3 linked regions of the Pelodiscus sinensis genome follow. The protein of the gene in region 2 interacts with the protein of the main gene of each other region in a pairwise test. Links are inferred from orthologs where the notes say so. Each region holds a gene or a part of one and is shown on either strand. Other genes may lie near its edges.

The links.
Region 1: the proteins of RAP1GDS1 (region 2) and NRAS interact in binary tests that used the Homo sapiens proteins (3 or more experiments, as listed by UniProt). The link is inferred for Pelodiscus sinensis from reciprocal best matches to the Homo sapiens genes RAP1GDS1 and NRAS.
Region 3: the proteins of RAP1GDS1 (region 2) and PLEKHB1 interact in binary tests that used the Homo sapiens proteins (3 or more experiments, as listed by UniProt). The two-hybrid records come from large-scale screens. The link is inferred for Pelodiscus sinensis from reciprocal best matches to the Homo sapiens genes RAP1GDS1 and PLEKHB1.

The regions. Positions count from the first base shown.
Region 1 is NC_134737.1:648,879-656,654, reverse strand, and holds the start of NRAS (GTPase NRas), read right to left. Parts: upstream 3,007-7,776; 5' UTR 2,957-3,006; coding exon 2,846-2,956; intron 1,658-2,845; coding exon 1,479-1,657; intron 1-1,478. Other genes in the region: CSDE1 (cold shock domain-containing protein E1), read right to left, coding at 4,303-4,350. UniProt on the Homo sapiens protein: Ras proteins bind GDP/GTP and possess intrinsic GTPase activity.
Region 2 is NC_134715.1:22,177,838-22,185,720, forward strand, and holds the start of RAP1GDS1 (rap1 GTPase-GDP dissociation stimulator 1), read left to right. Parts: upstream 1-4,879; 5' UTR 4,880-5,292; coding exon 5,293-5,296; intron 5,297-7,883. UniProt on the Homo sapiens protein: Acts as a GEF (guanine nucleotide exchange factor) for the Rho family of small GTP-binding proteins (G proteins) that stimulates the dissociation of GDP to enable subsequent binding of GTP.
Region 3 is NC_134711.1:321,731,450-321,738,389, reverse strand, and holds the start of PLEKHB1 (pleckstrin homology domain-containing family B member 1), read right to left. Parts: upstream 3,007-6,940; 5' UTR 2,992-3,006; coding exon 2,934-2,991; intron 2,856-2,933; exon of another isoform or gene 2,771-2,855; intron 1,605-2,770; coding exon 1,545-1,604; intron 1-1,544.

The DNA of each region.
Region 1 (7,776 bases), on a different chromosome or scaffold from region 2:
TATTACAAAGTAGACATTAGGGCTGGAAAGGCCCTCACAGAGCTTAGTCCCTAATCCACTCTCCTTACCCCACCAGCAGTGTTTCCTCTCAGATTTCCAACCGTGAGCGGAGAGTTGTGGCTTGTGCGCCAATACTGAGGTTGCGTGTGCTGGCTTGGATGTGTGCCACCGTGGCACCCAATTTATTAATACACATGTTCCCAGTTGCTGGAGCAGACCCCACCTGGCCCTGCAGCATGTCCCATTCCCGGCTGCTGGAGCAGACACCGAGCCCGCCATGCGGCATGTCCCGTTCCCAGCCCAGCCACCAGAACAGGCCCTGGTACCCCCTGCCACATGGCAGCCCTGGCCACTGGAGCAGGCCAACCCCCGCCACAGCAGGTCCTGGTCCCCTACCCCAGCGGCACTCTCACCACATCATCTTAGCCAGCCCCTCCGGCTGCGTGGCTCTCCTGAGGCGGTGGGCAGAGAAGAATTTTGTTGTGCATGGTTGTGCAGGCGTGCATCTTAGCAGAAACGTGGCCCATCTGTGGATTCACCCTGATGTGCACCCCCTTCGCTACTATGCGAGGTGTATCCTGTATTCCATGCCACTGAACCATTACTGCATCTTCAACAATATCTTGGTGGCTATTCCAGTCTCCACTTGCTGACTATTTATGAAGCACTCAAATTCCCTCTAAGCTGTGCAGCTGCTTGTTAAGCCCTGTGCAGGGGCTCAGGGCTATAGTGGGGAGAGGCACCTCTCCCCGCTGACTCCAGCACGGACCTACCCTGAACTTGCTGTAGCTGGGGGAGCCCCAGCCCCACGCCAGCCTTGCCAGAGGAGGCTGTGAAGGCTAGGACTATAACAGAGTTTACAGAGAAGCTAGATAATTTCATGGAGGTTAGGTCCACAAAAGGCTATTAGCCAGGGGATAAAATGGTGTCCCTGGCGTCTGTCTGTCAGAGGCTGGAGAGGGATGGCAGGAGACAAATCGCTTGATCATTGACTTCGGTCCATCCGGTGCTGGCCACTGTCGGCAGACAGGCTACTGGGCTAGATGGATCTTTGGGCTGGGGGTAGCCCTCTTTCCCAAGGGCAGCTGGCCCCACAAACCCAAAGCCAGCATCCCCAGCTCCACCCCAGAGCCTGCACTCCCAGTCAGAGCTCTCACCCCCGCTGTCCCACCCTGAGCCCTCTCCTGTTCTCCAATCTCCTTGATCTCCATATTGGTGCACACAAGCGATTTGTTCTGCACAAGGACCACTGTGCGCCACTCATACTCTGAGTGGGACTTCACAAGATATTCTGAAGCTCAGTGTGCTGGATGGCATTTCTGCAGCACTTATGTGAAGATGACTGATTGTCTTGCTTGTTTGGTCTCCACTAACTGCGTGGGTGAATATGCTCAATGCCAGTTGAAGATTGCACCCTTCCAGCCTTCTCTCTCCAAAATAAACCTAAGAAAGGCTTTCTCCCAAAGTGCAAAACGTACCTGTAGAGATTGATATCGGCAAATGATTTGCTGTTATTAATGGCAAAGACACAGAGGAAGCCTTCGCCAGTTCTCATGTACTGGTCCCGCATAGCGCTGTACTCCTCCTGCCCTGCAGTATCCAGAATGTCTAGCAAGCAGGTCTCACCATCAATAACTACCTGCTTCCGGTAGGAATCCTGAGGGAGATACAAACACAACTTCGAAAACTAAGACAAGACTTGGTGCTACGGCTGCTGCTGCACCTTACCTCTGCCTCTATTCAGGAGGCATTTCCTAGTGCACAGCGTAAAGCTGGCCGCAGTTCCACAGCTTGCTCTGCTCCCTCAAACGTTGTAAGTAAACATTTGGAGTGCAGGGCATATTGCTAGAGACCTTAATGGACATGTGAGAAAGGCCATTCACCTCTGGAAAAGCAAAATGCTGCCTCCTACCCCACTGCTGCTGTAGGGCAGGGGTGGGCAATACTTTTTGATGGGGGTACTAGGCCAAGATTTTGGAAAGTGATCAAGGGGCTGCACTTTTCTATGGAGGGGCTGTGGGGTTTGGAATGGAGGTTGGGTGCAGAAGGGAGCTGGGGACAGGGGATTGGGGTGCAGGATCTGGGAGGGAATTGTGACCTGGGGCAGGATGTGTGTGCAGAGGATTTGGGTGATGACCTGGGGAATGGAGTTAGCAAGTGGGAGGGGCTGAGGCACAGGAAGCAGGCTCTGGCCAGAAGTCAACTTTACCTTAGGTCAGGGCTACTCAACTTTGGAGCCCCGGGGGCCACAGTGACACTCACAGCACATGCTGGGAGCCACAACTTAAGTGTGGTTGCATGTACATGCAAATATATATGCAAATAGCTTCTTTCACACTGACGGGCACGAGTGCAAAGATTAAGCCTTACGTGCAAGCGCTGGACCCAACCGTGGCCAGTGCGAGCCAGTCGGCATCTCTCAGGCTCTGCCCACAAGGCTAAGCAGCCAGCACGTCCCACAAAGTCCTGGCGCTCCTGGCACCTTCTGCCCAGGGACTAGAAACGCGACACCCTGTGCCCTCTGCCAGTGCTCACCCCGCTGGGAGGGGCCTCGCGGGCCCGGATTGAGCCCCCCGGGGCCACGTGCCGAGTAGCTGTGCCCTAGGCCGGTCCCAGCCCGCAGCCCGGCAGGATCCGCGAGGCGGCGCCCTCCTGCAGCAGCCCAGCCACTCGGGTCCGCTGCTCAGAGCCCCACGTCAATCGCTGCGGGGGCCTAGGGGAGCAGCCAGGCGGTGCCGGCGGGGGGCTCCGTGCAGCGCGGACCGTCCCTGCAGGGGCGAGCCGGGCCCGTCGGCAGAGGGAGGCCCCGCGGGCCGGGGGGGCGCAGTTCAGGGCCGCCCCTCACCTCGATGGTGGGGTCGTACTCGTCCACGAAGTGGTTCTGGATGAGCTGGATGGTCAGCGCGCTCTTGCCCACGCCCCCGGCCCCCACCACCACCAGCTTGTACTCGGTCATGGCCCCGGCCCGGCCCGGGACCGGCCTTCCGCCTTCCGCCCCCCCCCCCCATCCCCCCCGCCGGAAGGAGCCGGGCCCGGCCCCCGTCTGAGCTTGCGCTGCGCGCGGGGGGAGGCACCAAGCGGGAGGCGTTTTTCAAAATCAGTAAAACTTTATTCTATTTCCATTCTTTGCCATTAACAGAAATCGGAGAAAGCAAATGTTTGTTTCACAAAGATAATGCATCTCCCAGAGAAGAAAAACCCTAAACTGAGAATAGAGGTCATATGAAAAAACCGAAAAACAAACCACAGGACTGCCCTCTATTCCAAGAAAATAACTCCTGATCTTTTTGGTTAAAGTAATACTTAGACCAATCATTCAGTTTTCTTGCTTGATAAAGTGTGACTGGGGAAGAATGGGGGGGAGGGGGGGAGAAAAAGAGCACACAGACATCAACTATTTCACCTTGATGAAAGTCTCAATACAGCTATGGAAAGCCTAAGTATTTATTCTTTTACAGTACACTGGGTGCTGGCTGCAAAAAGAAAAATGTATTCACTTCAGGCACAATTTTTAAATTTAAATCAGTAAAAGAAACTGGGTTTAGAAGCTGCAGAGTTCTAAGCAGCAGCAAAATCTGTGCATTGTTTTATATATTTAAGTTACCACACAGATGGCACACCTCATCCTTCTGAAATTCTGCACTGTGCCTACTAATTGCAGAGTTACAAAACAGATCTACTACTCTGGAAGGTACTTTCACTGAGCTTTAACAGAACTTTGCTACATGGACTCAAGTTTAAATGAGATATGAAAACATATGTAACATTTGGCCGTCAACTTAAAAAGTTATCTGAATGCTCATACAGATTTATATAAAAAAGTTTATCTAGTCCACCCTCATATGGTCCTTCAAATTCAAGCTGAACTTGAAGTGAGCCTCCCACATGGAGGGGAAGATAATGCAACTGAGAGCTAAGGCATAGTAACACCTTGGCAGAAATAATGAGGATAGAGTATACATCCTTTTAGTGCAGAATTTCATAAGGTCTACCGCAGTAGAACTGTCTATAATGTTCACTTACATAGGCAATGTAGATTTGCAGTTACCAGTTGCGTTAAATGCACCATTCAAAAAGCGTCTAACAAGTGATACTATAAGGCGCCACCTTAAGTCTCCAGGATGCAACTGTGCATAATTTTAAAATGGTTTCATAAATTTATTTTTTAAACATAACATGAGGAAGGTGTTAAACTGGTATAATAGCTTCTTAGAATTTGGAAGGGATGAATAGGGAGATATTCAGTACCCTTCACCAGCTCCCATCGCATCATCCTACTTAGTTATGTGCTTTATGGTTCTGCTAGTCAATAACACCAGCTTGACGAATCTTTCTCTCTGCAACAAATCCCTGTAATGACATAAAACAGCATTAGGCAACTGCAATGTGAAGTAATGGGTATGGTTAACAGATGGATATATACCATTCTCTCAATTTCTCCATGTGTAGGCCACTCTTCATGTTGTTTCTAACAGGATACCCTGTTGGTATTGGGGGGCTAAACTGGCTCTTCAGAAATCCTAAGAAGCAGCACCAAGCTCCCATGGTTCCCTATGCACACACACTCTGTTTTACCTAGCCACTATATTCTATACCATTGCCTTGAACTTTGAAGAATCCACTCTAAAGACCTCCCAGGGTGAGAATTGAGCATACTGGGCTCCCCTACATGTCTCCCTGCTAACAAAAGTTCTAAGGAAATGTAGTGAGCTGAGGCTCCAGCTCTTTCCCCTTTCTCCTAGGTGTATTATTGAGAATAAATTCTCATTAGAACACAATTTCTCTAGAGGAATTTTAAATGTTGCAGGAAAGTACATTTTTCTGCCTCGCAATCTGTGTGTCACTCTTAGGCTCCATGTACACTGTGGGTGTTCTGCAGAAGAAATGCAAATGGAGCACTCATTTGCACACTCATGCTCTCATTTGCATATCTTCAAATCCTTTTTGCAGAAGTTATTGCAATTAAAAAGCCCTGTGTAGATGGGGCCATTTGTCAGAAAAAAACCCTTTTGCGCAAGAGCCTTTTTTTGAAGAATAAAGGCTCTTGCGCAAAAGGGTTTTTTCCCCTGACAAATGGCCCCATCCACACAGGGATTTTTACTCGCAAAAACCTCTTCTGCAAAAAGGATCGAAATATATGCAAATGAGCACTCCATTTGCATTTCCTCCTCCACAAAACACCCGCAGTGTAGACAGCCTTAGAGACAGCATCACCTGCCAGCTGAGGTAGTAGCTACCTATCCACTTCCAAATTTGGATTAATTCTACGTTAGACCAAAGTGGGCACTCGGTGAAGTTCTTCCTGGATCAGCAGCTTGAGTGGCTTGTGGCAAACACAGCAAGACTCAAAGTCTTGATTTTACATTTAAATGAACAAGTTACAAACAATTTTGCCTTAATCAGCATTTAGCAATATACAGTAATGCAACCTGGGATTGGTTGACCACACCCATTCCGCTCTTGGTGCATATGTGGCCAATGCAAACAGGATCAGATTCTTTTAGCCAGCAGTCTACTGAGGCCACTACTGCACCCTAATGTTCTCACATCCCCATGTCAAATACAGAGCCAAGCAGGCACAAGCATCCCCAATTCCTTCAACACTACAGAATCCCAGAGGAATCGGACTCCACAATAGCGGAGCAGGACAATGTGTTGGGAACCCACGTGGACAAGACATAAGAGCCAGTTACAGCACAGTAAGAAACACTTCTCAGAGACTGAGTCACCAAAAGTGGCATTCAGGCAGACAAACCAAAAATTGTGTTTCCTTAGCAGTGAGCAGTCGGACTCCTGCTTAGCAAAGAGCTGTAGGACAGCCCTGTCAAAGCACCCATCCCATTTGGAGGCCTGTCCTAAGGAACAGCATATTGTAAGTGAGTGGACCGAGCTCCATGTACTTATTCTACAGATTTTAGAAATAGGGGCAGTCCTCAAGGGAGAGACCATGGGGGACAGAAAGATGCAAGTTTAAAATAAACTAGGCTTTGCAGGTTGGCAAAGCACAGGGTGTCCCCAGATAGGAGGACGACGTGCAGATACGGCTGCAAGATGGAACCAGAAATACTTTGCAATATCAGGGCTAGCTAGCAGTCCACCCACTTGTGCTGAAATGAACAGTCAAGGGCAACAGGAGGCGGTGGGCTGGGAAGCCCCAATTGTGAAGTTATTTTACAAGCCAGTCTAGTTAAGGCTTTCCTGTTCGGAAGCAGAATATTCTCAACTTCAGAGATCTGACCACTGTTTCCCAAGACTGTTGGCAAGGCCAGCGAGGTGATGGGGCTATGGTAAAAAGCTGACTAGGGTCTTAATGCCAGAACTGCCCAACTAAAGCCTGGGCTAACATGATCAATCATGTATCTTGCCTCATCTCTCAATACCAGTGGAGATGGCCTGCTCCTTCTTGTCATAATGCACAACTGCCATGCTGTCTGTCAGCATCTGGCTCACGGATCCCTGGACTAATGGCAAAAGTGGCAGGCAGATGGCTCTGGGTCAATCTCTGAGGGTGCCACAGCCCTGGTGTTTGAAGGTGATCTAGATATGCTCCCTCCACCCCGAAGAGAGTTTACCAGTTTGAGGACTTCTCTTCATGTCTATGCAGTGCTTACTTGATTTTCAGCCCTCTCCTGCAGGGAATAGCAGTTAAGGTCTGGCAAGCTGCATCCCAGCCTCCTTTTGGATTTTAGTAAGCCATTTGACACTGCTGCACGATATTAGCATAAACAAAATTAGGAAAATATGATCTAGATCAAATTACTAGAAGGCAGATGTACAACTGGTTGAAAGATTATGCTCAGGAGTAGTTAATGAGTCACTGTTCCACTAAACTGAGCCCTGCAGAAGTCAGTCCTCCATCTGCTTTCATTTAGTATTTTCACTGAGGACTTGGAGACTGGAGTGGACAGTATGTTTATAACATTTGCAGGTGACACCAAGCTAGGAGGGGTATTCCAAACCTTGACAAATGAGAGGTTCTGAACTTAAAGAGATCCAATTACATCATTACATTCAAAAGATCCAAGTACAAAGTATTTTCTGAACAAACCCTGGGAGCCCAGGGGAGGAGAAAGGCTTGGAATGCTGCTCCTGCCCCCACATAACCTTATAGCTCTTATTGGCCGAAACCATCCAGTGGGAGCTGCCTATTTGCTAGACCAAAGGCTTGTGACATACCCCCGCTCCCTCCCCCTGGGCTCACAGCATTCAGAGCAGCACATCTGGCCCCCAGCTGGCTGATGAACCTTCTGGGCAGGGCTGCTGGCCAGGAGCCACACAGGTAAGTGCCTCCTGGCCAGAGCCTGCTTCTTACATCCCAGCCCCTCCCTCCACCACCTCTCTGAACTCATACTAAATGTAGCCCACCCCCTCTGTACTCTTGTGCCTTTACCCATATTCTTGCACCCCCTTACACGCCTCATCCAGGTCAAAATCTTCTCCTGCAGCCATACCCGTCTTCTGACCTAGGTCACAACCTCCTCCTCCTCCCAAACTCCCCCCTGCATCCCAATCCCTTAACCCTAAGCTCTCTTCTGCACCCAACCTCCATCCCAAATCCTGTACATCCTCCATTAATACAATGGAAAAGTGCAGCCTTTGACCACTTACCAAATTCTTGGAGAGGCCCCCATCAAAAGTTATTGCCCACCCCTGGGCTAAGTGGTAGCAATGCTGAAAAGGATCAAGGGATTGCTGTTGCCTCATGCAATGTGTGATCCGGAATAGGATACAGTTGTGAAAACGGTAATACACCAGGCAACATTAATGGAAGAGTTA
Region 2 (7,883 bases):
GAGCGGTTTGCGGGCACGACCAGCAGGTGCAGGCGGACAGCAGAGCAGCTGGTGGGGACGACCTGTGGCCGGTAGGAGCGGCAGCAGCCAGCCAGTGGAGCAGCTGCAAGAGCAACCAGCTGGCGGCCAGGGGCGTGGACCGAGACGGCTGGCAGAGCCAGACAGTTCGTGGGACAGCTGAGGCGGCTCACTGGACGACAGGTGGAGTGTGGTGGAGTGACTCGCGTTGATGGTGGCGGCAGAACCTTACGGAGAGGCAGAGCCATCGGCGGACCACGTAAGGTGTGTCAATCCCCACCCCTCCAGGTTGGGATGGTAAAACTCAGCCAGGTGAACTTTTGAACCCTGGGGCAGCACTGACCCGGGGCAGAGACTTTTGGGGTGTTGGACTTTGGGTGATTTTTTTGGGTTGCTGGACTTAAGAGACTCTTTGGGTGTTGGACTTTTGGGACTTTGGGTGATTTGGGGCTGGGAGAAGGGTCTCTGCTCATGTTTGGTCTATGAATCTGAGTTGTGGTGTTTTCCCAAGTTAATGCTGATGTTGGTTACCTCATGTTATTAAAGGTTTGCTGCTATACTGAGGCTCTGTGCTTGCGAGAGGGGAAGAACTGCCTCTTTGAGGCGCCCAGAGATGTATGTAAGATTTCCCAGGTCACTAGGTGGGGACTTGAGCTGGTGTTGTATTACCTTGTTGGGATGAGACCCCTAGATACTGAACCCAGCCCTCGCTGCTATTAATTCGGCCTGGCAAAAGGGTTACACTAATATCTATCATTAGCCCCAATAAAAACATAATACATTGCTTCTCTTTCCCAGTTCTCCCAAATACTGTACTTGTTTTTAATTATCTTTAATGACATGACCATTTCATTAATTTTAATGAAATTCACACAGGCTTTCCCAGTCATCTTAATACATCATATTTCATAGTGCTAACCTGTTATAGGATACAATGCACAATTGTCTTTCATACAAACTGCATCCCACAAAGCTTCTTAAATAACGAGAGCCAGAGGCTCCCTAAAGTTAGGATATAGTTACAAAGTCCAAGTAAAAAAATATTACTGAAAGATACGGAAATGAATAATCAAAGACAAGGAAGGAAAGATATATTCTAGAAGAAATCTGAAAATTGGAGAAGATTGATGGAGCAGAAGAATACAGAAACCTTTTGCTTCTAGGATAATTTATGAATATCTGTGTTATATCAGCTGTCAAATTATGCAAATTGCAGATAAACAAATATCAAGTTGCTATTTAAATAATGTGCAGATTCAAAGCCCTAGGAAAAAAAATTACAAAACCCATGAATTGCATGTGCAATTTTTTAAATGATTTTTTCCTACATTTTACTAAAAAGATGATGGTATAGATTCTCCTTATCCCCTGGTCATGTATAAATACACAACATCAACATAATTGGATGTACACATAGACCTGTATCTATTCCCAGTAAAGTCAATAGCAAAAGTGCATTTACTTCAATGGAAGCAGGTTCTAGTGAATCATAGAATCCCAGGGCTGGAAGAAACCTCAGGAGGTCATTGAGTCCAGTTCCCTGCCCAAAGCAGAACCAATTCCAACTAAATTATCCCAGCCAGGACTTCGTCAAGCTGGGACTTAAAAACCACTAGGATGGAGATTCAACCACCTCATCCAGGTCACTAATAAAGATGTTGAATAAAACAATTCCTAGAACCGATCGTTGAGGCACTCCGCTAGAAACCGACTGCCACCCTGACATTGAGCCGTTGATCACTACCCATTGGGCCCGACAGTCTATCCAACTTTTTATCCATCTTACTATCTGTTTATCCAATCCATACTGCCTTAACTTGCTGGCAAGAATATTGTGGGAGACCGTATCAAAAGCTTTGCTAAAGTATCATAAGGTTACAATGATTTAAATCAACAAACTGTATTGGTCTGTATCCCACAATCCTCTGTAACCAATAAAGTAATTTGTTAATAAAAAGGAACAAACAGGAGGGTGGAACAGATGCTAGATAGAAGCACTACTGGTATTGTGCAGGGGTAATTTGCAGTTGCTGTAATGTGAGGTTACTGCTGGTCCTATTTTTTTCTTGACTTATTCATATGAGTTGTCCCATTGCTTCCAATTAAACTACACATACAACTAAGACAAGTAGAACTGGCCCTGCAAAGCACCTATTATTCATATTCTGTGTTACTATTCTTAGGTAGTTATTCTGGCAAGGTGCCTGTTAATGTGGAAGACTGGAAAAAATAAAGTACTCAGTGAAGCTCACCTACAAAAATAATGGTTCCAGAAGAAAAGTTGCAGACATAGTATTAAGTCCTTATGAGTAAATATTTTCCTGTCATTCCATATCCAGTTTTACAGAGACCAAATATTCTGGGGAAAACACCACCACCAATTCAATAATACTTCATGCTTCGAGTATTTCATGAGAAAATGCTATGTTTCATACATATCTTTTTGTTTAGAAAAATTTACATTTCAGTTTTAATATTTATGGTTTAGACTACACAAAGCATTTGGTTTTATCTATTTGAGGAAAATTTGTCATATATTTTGCCTTTCTTCCATTTTAGAAAGGGACATTGATTCTTTTGACCACAAAGTTCACCTTAAAATCTGATCTGATACTTTATTCCCCTCCCTCCATTTCTCTTTTTGTAAAGGGCATCTTTATTTGTAAATTGTTTCTATTAAAGAAAATGAGAGAAAATCAAGTTGTTGCTTACTGTTCAAAATCACTCCATCTACCTTTTCATAAGTGTGACATTTTGTTCAAATCCAATATGACACACAGTATGGCTTTTGGGATACACCTTTACCACTGCTTTCTGCTCTCACAGCTAACAGGCAAAAGTAAAAGTATTTAAAGATTACTTTAAATCGTTCCATCTACTGATCACATTCTGGATACAAGTATTTTTAGTGTTTACTTCTTCTTTATGACAAAAAATCACATCAGAAAACCTCAGCCATAGCAAAACAAGTTCACATTTGTGCAAGATTTAGGACTGCTGTGCAACAGTGAACATTCTTAATTTTCCAATAGCTTTTTGTTGAGTCTGACATTTTAAAGTCAAAAAACAAAACACAAAATAATTTACTGTTTGTTCTCCTTTATGAGGTATGATAGCCGAATAAGTACTTTTGGGAGGCAGAAGTTGGCTTTTTTGTTTCTTTAACTCATGTCTTCCTTACATCTTTTTCCTAGAAGACTCTGGGAAAATGAGAGAGCTGGAAATGAGAGAGCTGTTTCACGCAGTGATTCCAAGTCCTCAAAAAACAGTTCTGTCCTCCAGTTTAAAAAATAAGTAAGTCACATCATGATACTGTAGTTTAAATTTTCCTTTTGATCACAATGGTGCAATGAATCCCACTGACATCAGGATTGTATCATTTTAATTGAGAAGAAAATTTTGCTGTTTTTTAGCAGAAAAGAAGCTACTACAGAGTTCAAATTACTATAAACATTAAAAACAAAAACAAATAAAAGCCCACTATCAAGAGGTCAGTTTATTATATATATTAAAAACTAACAAACATAACCCCACTATGAAAAGGTCAATTTATTCTAAATATTACAAACAATAACAAAAAAAACCAGGTGCTTTCTTTTTTGTGATATCTGTACAAATAAGATTGTAAATTCTGTGGGTGGAGACTTTAATAAAATCTTGTATCTGTGAAGTATTATGCACATCTTGGACATTTTCTAGTAAGGTTTTATACTGTTACCCATCACTGAAATATGTGAATGTCTTCCATTTAAAATCAATAGCAATACTGAAAACCTGATTAGAATGTATGATGTCTCTGAGTCATCTCCTTTTTTGGGGGATCTGCTTGGGGGTATGGTTTTTGTTTAGATTTTTTTAAAGAAACAATTAAATTCCTCTTTTGAATGTTTTGATTAGCAGATGTTTAGGAATCAAAGAGATGGAAGTGCTGTGAGTGTCATTCTTGTGGCTGAGAGTCTATTTTTAAAGAGGAAATAATTTATTCTTCTATCATTACTTTGAAAATGAAAAATGGGATCAGACAGCATGTGTTGAACATGCTTTTCCTTGCCAGCATAGACCTAGATATGTTAAAATCACTTTAGGTCCATTTACTAGGTTGGTTTCCAACTGTGGCCTTGTCTTCAGTGGAAAACTAGCCATTATCCTGAAGCCATTTTTTACAAAAGAGTTTCACAAAATCCTGCAAAACCCCAACAAAGAGGTTGTGTTAGCCAGTGCTAGTTCATGTCGAGATGGGTGATGGAGAACTTTTTTTTTTAAATGATACTCTGGAGTATTATTTAACCAGACGCTGTTTACAAGGGTGGAATATGAATCCAATGTATAGGTCTTTACAAAACAGATGCAATTACCTGGCTAGATGGGCATGTCTCTGCATAGCTACCTCTTTCAATGCAAGCTCTAAACATGACAGAGGATAGCATATCCAAATGTAAAATGTAAATCTCCTTCCCTCATTTTCTCTGGCTGCCTTAACATGTCTGTTAGCATGTTCTGCAAATGATAAAACAACGACGAAAGAAGAACCCTCGTTTATACGAAATGACAATTGCTCTAATTCTGCTCCGGGAGGCTATGGGGGGAGGAAGGCTGCACAGGATCTGGGCTGCGCGGGCTGTAAAGCCCTTGGCATCGTATCGATCTGGACAGCTGAGTTTGTCTGCAAAGCCTCCGGCGCCCTATGGCTTTCTAGCCAGGGCGTCTGGATCCCCAAGGGCAGCCCGCGGGTGGGCAGGGCACGGAGAGGCCCGCTGTTCCGCACGCCCTGCAGGCAGCCCGCGGGGGAGAGGCCACGCGCGGAGGGGAGGCACCTCACTCCAAGCGGCTACTTTTCCGCCACCTCGCTAGCGCTGCTACTGTGCGTCTCTGCGGCTGCCTCCGCAGCTCCTCCTCCCGGGGCTCTGGGTGTCGCTGGGCCGGGTGTCTCCAGAGGAGGGCCTTGCCCGGATGTACTACACTGACTCATAATCCAATCGACACAGGCAGCGAGACACACACACTCGCTGCGCTGAGCTGCGCCCGCTTCACTCTCCGCCTCCCGTCCCCGACAGCAGCGGCAGGGCTGGCCGGGCCCCGGAACGCGCGCAGCCCTCCCCCTGCCGCCGCCTGCCCAGGGGCTGCTCCTGCCGCCGGCCGGCCGGCTCGCTGCCGCAGCCGCCCCGCCCCAGGACCCTGCTGCTCCCGCCTGTCCCCCCCCGGCCGCTGGACTGAGGCGCAGGCGGCAGCTGCCCCTAGCAGGACCCAGAGAGCGGCTCCCCTCCCGGCAGGAGCATGGGTAAGTCGCCTTCCTTCAGCCCCCCCAAAGTTATGCCCTATGCGCCCTGTGCTGCAGCACCCGGGAGGCGGGAGGGCCTGGGCCCCGTGATGCCCAAGCAAGTCCGCGGCTCCTCTTCCCATCCCCCTTCCCCGCTCCCTGGCTTCCGTGCGGCTCCCTGTTTTGCATCCTCTCCCCCGTCGCACTGCTCCTGTTTCTCCCAAGGCCGGCCCCTTCCTCCCCCTCCCTCTGTGGCGGGCCGGTGGGAGGAGGAGGAGGTGGAGGAAGACGACTTCATGCAACTTCCTCAGCCGCTCTGGTGTTTCCCCTGGCGGCCGAGGAGGCTCAGGGTGCAGTTTGCTTTGGCAAGGGCTGTGCATGCTCGGCAGGGAATGCGGGGACTGGGATGGGGAGCCATCTCCACCCAGCCTGGGGGTGAACCAGGCGAGTGAAAACACACCAGTCCCTGCAGGAGGCAGCGACTTGCTCCATGCTGGACTAGCGGGGGGTTTACAGGGTGTGTTTTTCCTGGGCTGAGCTCCGTCTTTTGATCACTTCAGGGATAGAGAAAGGGGTGAGGTAGCAGGAAGCTGAAAATAGTCAGGGCACCTTATTTCTGAACTTAAATCAGCGGGTTTCCTTCTGTTCTGAAATGACAGTGCAAAGTTTCTGCAGGCTCGTGTGATACTGCCAGTTCAACCGTCCTGCTGGCCTTAGGTAGGCTGAATGTCAATTTTAATAAAGGCAATGCACTCAAATATAAGTTGCCTTACAGTTTATGGATACAGATTTCTTAGGTGGAAATCAAATTCTCTAAGTATCAAAAGGAGATTTGGAGCAAGTAGTCAAATAGTTCATTCAACAGACTGAGTTTCGCCTCTTCTGTTTGTGTCCTAGACAGCTGGATAATACATTACATAGACTACTTATGTTCCAGTCTTACCTCTGGTGTTCCTCTGCATGGAACCACAAAGATCTTCATTTTTACCCTGCCCCATGATTTTTAAATCACCACGTGTCTTGTGAAGAACTGCAGTCATGTTATCTGGCTGTTAATTCCAAAATCTTATTTGCTAATGGAGACCTCCAAAACAAACACACAATGAGCTAGAAAGGAGTGCTTTCTTATAGCCCAATGGTATGAGTGCTGAGGACACTATAATATACCTCATTGGGTTTCATCAGGAATTAAAGACAAAGCATCTCTCCCATAGAGGCAATGATAGTGCACTCTAATAGTTTAAATGCAGGCTAAGAAGTCAGCAATTCCTGAAGTCATAATCCTAGATCTGACACTTACTTCTGCTGCTGCCTTAGATGAGTAACTGGTTTCTTTTGAGCCCATATACATCTTTTTGCCATTTAGTAAATGAAGATTTCCATAGATAGTAACAAACTCTATATTTTAGTTTCCTTGTCTGTAAAACAAGGATATTGCTTACCGGCCTTTCAGGGCAGTTGTGAAGATTGTCACTTTTATAAAGTGTTTGGAGGAAGAAACCCTCAGAAGCAGGTACTGAACTTTTTCTTGGACATTGTGATAGGGTTCTAGAAGTCTCCCATTTAGTTGAGATGAAAGGACAACTCCTTGACAACTAACTAGGAGATATTTAAGGACACTGGTCATTCCTACTTTTGTGATCAATGTCATAATCAAATTGCTAGTACAGAATGAATGCTGCATTGTACTCTACAAAAGGTTCCATTCCAGTGGTGGGTGAGTTTGTAAATTGCTCATGAAATCTTTCTAGCCAAAATTATTACATTAGCAGAGATAAGATGACTAGGAGGGTTTCCATTCAGTGTCTGTCAAGGATGCTCCTTAATTGTCCAATGCTTGTCTGTATTTCCGCAGTGTTGATTTCCCGGTAAATCAATCTCCCCGGGTTCAATTTAGGGGCTCTAGTACATAAATCAATCACTGATGGCGCCCCCATCGACTCTGGTACTCTACGGAATCTTAAGGAGTAAGGGGCGTTGACGAGAGACAATCTCCCACAGTGGAGATGCCATGGAAACTGGACCTAAGGTATGTCGACTCCAGCTACCCTATCATATAGCTGGAGTTGTGTATCTTAGGTCAACTTTTTTCTTTAGTGTAGACCTGACCTGTCCAGAGAGATTACTGTTGACTAATACAAGAAATGCCCTGCTCTTATTTTTCCCCATCCCTGCACGCATCTGGACCGTATTCTTCTGCCATTTAGGCCAGTGGCCAACTTATAACCTCCTCTGTAGCAGCTCTTGTTGTTCTGAAGAGCCAGTGACCACAAACAGAATCTTCCCACAGCCAGCTAGAGGTTTTCTGTTAATTTTTTTTAATAGCAAACATGACAACTTTGAATGTTTAGAGTCTCTTGATTTTGTGAGCTTAATCATTGTAGTTGCTGTCCCTGCTCAGCTCCAGCATGCTCTCCTACTTTTATTTGTGCAATGCATAACTATTGGAAAGCCTCAGAAAGTAAGTATTGAGGATGAATTTTTGCAACACTAAAAATATCTTCTTCAAGCTGCTATTAACTTGGTAAATCATACTTAAAAATCAAGTATTTGCGGCAAAGAGAACTCAGAGTGTTTCATGATTTAACATACTGAATATTCTACACTT
Region 3 (6,940 bases), on a different chromosome or scaffold from region 2:
CTCATGTCTGCTTTTACTGTAAGCTCTTTGGGGCACAGTCCTGTTCATCTTTGCTTCTGTATTTAAAGACCCCAGGGCACTTGGGGGCACTCAGAGTCTGATTCTCCACTGCTTTTCCCCTTTACAGCTGGGAAAAAATGAATGGAAGGTGCTGCCAGATCAGAAAGGCTGTTTCACACCTAGTGGTATGTGATTGCACAAAGCACAGCAGAGGTGAATCCGGCACAATATAGTTCAAATAGGGAAAGCCAAAAAGTTTTAATCTGGGCCCCTAGTGGGAGCTTTAAAAATAAAACCTGCCCCAAATCAGCAATCACAGCAAATTTGTCACATACTCAGCTATCACAGAGCAGGCTGCTAGGAGGGACAGCAAAACCTACTCTGAGGCCTGCCTGTTAACCCTTGATTCACCTGAAATGATGAATTACTTGCCCAAGGAGTCTCATTGACTAGGGTGAAGAATTCAATCACCAAATGCAAATAAGGGGACAAAATCGAGCCCAGAGATTCTTACCATGAAGTAATGTCAACAAAGCCATTAATTAGCTTGTGCTTGTGGCAGCCTTGTGCTGTTGCAGTAATTTCCAGGCCCAGAGCAATCAGAATTCGTGTGACAGGTGCAGAAGGGCACCCCAGGCATAGCCTTCATGTCACTGCTGTTCAGGAAGCATAATGCAGTCTGGGAAGTCACATGTCCAAACAGAAAGACGAGCCCAGATTTGTAAGGCCAGATGGGGCCATCTAGCTTGACTCTTGCATAACACAGACCAATTACTCTCAATAATTCATACACTGAGCCCAGTAACTTGTGATTGGACTAGAACATATATTTTAGGAGATCTCTATCAACAGAGACAGGATTGTCTGCTATCAGGTTCTTATGTACTTAGGGAAACGCTAAGATCCCAGTCCTGCACTATCCTGTGGCCAGAGAGTTACCTGGCAATGTTTAAGCGCTCAGGATCCAGGCTGTGCACATGATAAGCATATCAACCAGCAGGGCCAGCCTTAGGGCTGGGCAAACTGAGCCCATACCCAGGGCACCATAGCCAGAGGGTGAGGGACAACTGGGCATGTGTGTTGCTAGGTAAAAGGGGTTGAGGGTACTAGACAGGAAGACAGTGTGACGAGGCATGCTGGAAGTGCAGGGCCTGGGTTAAGGGTATGGGTGGGAGACAAGTGCAGGGGTTGGGATGAAGGAGGTACTGTGGAGGTTAGGGGGTAATGGAGGCACAATGAAGTTAGTAATTAAGAGAGCATGGGAGGGAGGCGCCATGTTGGGGAGCCACTGGGTGCCAGGGGAACTGGGTGGTGCTATGTCCACAGGGGTTAGGAGCATCAAAACACCAGTTCACGTAGGGCACCATCTTCCCTAAGGCTGGCCCTGTCAGCCTGCGACCCAAAGTGTGTGAAGAAAAAAGCTGTCCCCAAATCCCTCCAACAAAGAGAACACAGCCAGGAAAAGCCAGTCCAATGCAACCCTCCCCACTTGTAGAGAGACCTTTTTTTTGGCATGACATTACTAAATTACATTCTGAACTTACTTTGTCTCCAAAGCCAGCCGCTCTTCATCAGCGCCATTATTTTAAAACGCCTTACCAAACCTATCAAGGCAAGGACATCAAAAGCAGGGAGTCAAAATTAACAACCACATCAGATTCTTGTCATCCCCATTCCAATAAGCATTTTTCCCCGAAGCTGCTCATTTTAATTACGGCGTTTCCCACACACGGGTTTCTCCTATCAACTTTATTTTCAAAGTCTTTTTGGTCTTTTTAAGAGCTAATCTGGATCAGAGAGCGGCAGTATTTAATTATCTGTGTCATACGAATTGAGGAGGGGAAAAATTTCAGCTACCTTTTTTTGCACCATTAATTGTATTGGGATTTAGGGATTAGCAGCTCTCCTGTGTATGTAAATGGAGAAATCCAGAACATACCTGCAAACACAGGCAATAACTCCCAAAGGCATTGGTTATTTTCCATAGTGATTGGAGACAAGCAAACAACTGATGCAGAACAGTGAAAATTAGTTTTGACTAGAGCTTAATAAGGCATTAATGCATAAAACCCATAGAATCATAGAAGTGTAGCATTGGAAAGGACCTGGAGAGGTAATCTAATCCAGTCCCTTGCACTCATGGCAGGACTATGTAATAACTAGAGCATTCCTGACAAGTGTTTGTGTAACCTGTTCTTATAAACCTCCAGTGACAGATTCCATAACCTCTGTTGGCAGTTTGTTCTGGAGCTTAACCACCCTGCTGGCTGCAACAGGCAAACAGTGGGGGTAACAGATAGGAATATACCCGCTTCTTTGAAGCACACCACATTTTCAGTCCTTTTGGAGGGGTAAATAAGAGATTTTACTAACCACCAGTTTTCTCCACTCAAGCACATCTGAAGAAGTGGGTTTTGCCCATGAAAGCACACGATATATACGAAGAGAATATGTTATAGGTTAGTCTTTAAGGTGCCAAAGGACTATTTGTTTTTAAAAGTTGCAGACTCACACGGCTACCCCTCTGAGACTTTTTTCCATCAGTATGTAGGTATGAACATTCTCTACAGTCTGGGAGCCAAAGGAACACCCCAAGTAGTGTCACATATTTCAGTGTTTATGTACAAATACACACAGTTCATAAATCCCCCACCACAGCTATACATGCTTCCTCGTACAGCCTTACAAAACAGCCACACGCATCTCTAAATCATACCCCGCCCTGGCCAGCGCTTGGGGTTGCCTGCCTCCCTCCCTCGAGACACATCACCTGTTGACTGTCCTGGGGTGGAAACATCCCTCTGATGTGCAAATTTCACTGGACACACGTGCTGACGCCGGGCACGGGAAACTCCTGTGCACAACCCACCTGCTAACCCTCCGCCCCCACCTGCTGGTGCCAAACAAATCCCATGCCATCCGGGCACACTTACAGCCAGCATAGCAGTATGGTGCGCGCACCCTACCCCCACAGCACCCAGCTCGGCGCATCCTTTACCTGGAGATAAGCAGGACCCTGTCGCGCGCCGCCGCTAGAACCCCTGCCTCTGTGACGCGGGGGCCAGCCGGGTGACCCCCCCGAGACAGGAACGCGCACCCCGCCCCCCTCCCGGCTGGAGCTCGGCTCGCACAGCACGCTGGGAGTTGTAGTTTGCAGCCGGCGGGCTGCCTAGGCAGGGTAATCCACGCCGGAACTACAGCCCCCAGGATGCAAAGGAGGGGCAGCTCTGGTTCATTCCGACAGGCTGGTTGTTTTGCAGGCGCCGGGAGCGGGTCAGGCTGGTAGCCCTGTTCCCACAGCGGGGCTTGCTTCCCTGGCCCCCCCTCTGCGAGCGCTGCATGGGGGGCTTGCAGCGGGACAGGCCCGGGCAGGGCTGTCTAGGAGCCGTGGGGGGCATGGCCCGCAGAAGCAGCTGGAACCAGGCTCCGCCGGGACCTTCCCAGGCAGCCTGGTCTATTTTTAGTGGCGCTTCAGCTCATTAGCAGAGGCTGCGCTGGTGGCCTCGTGCGGCTCGGGAAAGACACGCGCTTGCACGCCCGCCTGCCCAGGGCTTTGGGGAGGGGAGAGCAGCCCTCAGCCCAGGGGGGGCGCTGAGCAGACAGGCGCTGCCCCAGGCAGCAGCCCATCGGGGAGAGAGCTCAGTGTGTGGGGATAATAGAATAGTGATAGAAATGTAGCCCTGTTAGTCTGGTGCAGCTGAAACAAAAAACAGGACAATGTAGCACTTTAAAGACTAACAAGATGGTTTATTAGGTGATGAGCTTTCGTGGGCCAGACCCACTTCCTCAGATCAAATAGTGGAAGAAAATTGTCACAACCATATATACCAAAGGGTACAATTAACAAAAATGAACACATATGAAAAGGACAAATCAAATTTCAGAACAGAAGGGGGATGGGGGGGAAGAGGGGGAGGTAAATGTCTGTGAGCTAATGATATTAGAGGTGATAATTGGGGAAGCTATCTTTGTAATGGGTAAGATAATTAGCGTCTTTATTCAAATTTGCATGTAAAGTGTCGAATTTAAGCATGAATGACAGTTCAGAGGATTCTCTTTGAAGTGGGGATAATAGGTCAGTGACAGCCACTAGCGGCCAGGCCCCCATGCCACTAGGATGGACAGGAGACAGACAGGCACAGCATGCTCAGGCCTGGGCAGGCTTGTTTCCCACAATACTGTATATCTCCTGGTGCTTTGTCCAATTTGGCTTTGAAAGTCCTGAGATATGGGGTGTCCACCGCTTCCCTGAGACGATATCATGCCGCCAAGTAGAATTGTAAAAAAACAAACAAACAAAAATTAAAACAGTAAGGCTGTGTGTACACTGCAGGCTTTTTGTGTTCTTGCGTCAAAACTGGCAGAGCGTCTACACTGCACACACATTCTTGTGCAAGTAAATTTACAGTACAGCATCGGAACAGAGGGCTTCTTGCACCAGAGTTATTCCTTACCCCACGAGGAATAAGCCCTCTTGCGCAAGAAGGCAGTGTGGACGGGCAGCAGGGCTTTCTTGCACAAGAAACCCCTGTGGCTAAAACGGCCAACAGAGCTTTCTTGCACAAGAGAGCATCCACACTGCCATGGACGCTCTTGTGCAAAAGCACATCTCTTGCGCAAAAGCACATGGCAGTGTGGACGTGCTCTTGTTCAAGACCTTTTGCACAAGTGCTCTTGTGCAAGACCTTTTGCACAAGAACTCTTGTGCAAAACCGTTCTTGCGCAAAAAGCGTGCAGTGTAGATGTAGCCTTACCATGTAATCGACTGAAATTCAATCAGTTACATGGTTAAACGCTTCTGTGAGCTTAACCCTCTGGGCTCCCAGAGGCCGCTGGCACTGCTGGCCCTGCATGTGGTGCCTCTAGACCCGCAGGCTCCCCAGGGTGGCCAGGAGTTTAACTAGTGGCTCATTGGTTAACCAGTTAAACTCTTATCATCAAGCAGAACAGGTTGAGGGAACTTGGGAGGAAATCCCTAGCTGGCAGTGGTGATGTGGGGCAGGCTTAAGGATAAGAACTGTCATGTGGGATCAGGCCAGTCCACACTGGGTCCATCTAGCCTAGTAGTTTTGACTTTTGACAATGGCCAATGCCAGGTGTCCCAGAGGGAATGAACAGAAAAGGGAATCATCAAGTGATTCATCCACTGTCACCTGTTCCCAGCTTCAGGCAGACAGAGGCTAATAGACTGACCTCCCCTCCATGAATTTATCTAGATCTTTTTTAAACCATGTTGTGCTCTTGGCCATCACAACACTGTTCTCAGCATGCACTGTGCTGAGTTATGGCCGCCTACTGAGTCTGTATGGTATGTGCACTGTGTGCACATATTGCATCCTGTGACTGGGGGGCTTAGAAAGAGCCTGTCCTTCAGGTTAAGAAGCAACCTGTCTGCTAATAAAGGCTGAGCCCTACCCTAGGATCTCAAGTTACTGCTCTCTCCGATAGCTTTGAGCTCTAAAGTGCAAATACAATATCTAGCAACCAAGTGCAGCGCTGCAATGAGCATTTCTGTAGCCCCTCCCATGAACATCACAGACTTTGACTTCTTCAGCCTCATCATATCCCTACCGGATCAGGGAAGTGTGAGTGACATGCCCCATCCTATGCAAGAAGTCAGTGTCAGAGCTGGGAACAGAACTTAGGTCTTCTGATGCCTAGTTTTCTGGTCTGCAACATCCCATTTCCTTCCATTAAGCAGCCTTCTGAACGGATGCTGTTTTATTTACTCTGCCTTTGGGCTGTGTTGCTAAGAAGAAGGAACTGTCCTTCTGTTTGGGAGAAACCTGGGGAAAGCCTCTTCGTAATGTTGAGCCAACAGCTCATGATGCGGGCACCCTTGTGGATCCCACGAAGAAGCATACAGTGTTGCCAGACTCCTGTGGTCAGGAACAGCTGCTGGGATTGCTGAGTCACGGCAGCCAGACTGAAGAAAGACCAGGAAAACAAAGATATGCAAGCACTGGAGCTAAAAGGAAAATACAGGTTGAACCTCTGTGGTCCAGGACTCTCTGGTCTCCTGAAGGACCATGGATGTTGCAGGACTAGAGAGCCCCAGCAGCAGAGGTTGCTGGTGGCTAAGAGCAGAGCCTGCGTCAGCAGATCCCCTGGGACACCAGAGCTTGCAGCTGGCGGGGCAGGGAAGCGGGGAGGGACGGAAGGGAGTGGGAGGAACTCAAGGAGCAGTATATGTAAACAAGCTCTGGCGGGGTCACTGCGGCCTCCAGCGGGGAGTTGGGGGCCCCCATGAGTTCTAGCAGGGCTGCCGCGAGCTCCAGCAGGGCGGTGGGGCTGCTGCGAGTTCTGGTGGGTTGGCAGGGCTGCTGCAGTTCACGGGACAGGGAGGTAGGGGAGAGGAGCCCAGCAGGGAGGCTAGCACCCTCCTCTCCCAGACCTCCCTTGGCCCGGCAAACTCCCTTGTCCGGGACTGGTCAGGTCCCAAGGATGCTGGACCAGAGAGGTCCAACTTGTACTGCATTATTACAAAGAGGGGCCTGTTTTGAAGCTACCTACCAGGCATGACCCCTTGCCCAACTAAGTGCGGAGGGCACCCCTTTGAGGGACAAGAGTATGGGGAAAGAGTTGGGGAGCCAGTGAAAGGCCATTCCAGGCAGCAGGAGCAACTGAGGGAGGAAATGCACAAAGCAAGTCTAGATCAGGTGAAGGGATCAGTGGAGAGGCCAGCTGTAGGCAAATAGAGAGCAAGAAGGTGGTTTAAAAACTACATAAGGTATTAATAACAAGGAGAGTAGACCATAAGCTCTTTGGAGCAGGGACACTCTCATATATTCATAAGGTTCCTAGGACAATGGGCCCCTACTTGGAACCTCTAACCTGCTGTACTATTAATAATAAAAAAAATTCGGCTACGTCTACACTGCAGGCTTTTTGCGCAAGAACACGTGTTCTTGCGCAAAAACTTGCAGAGCATCTATACTGC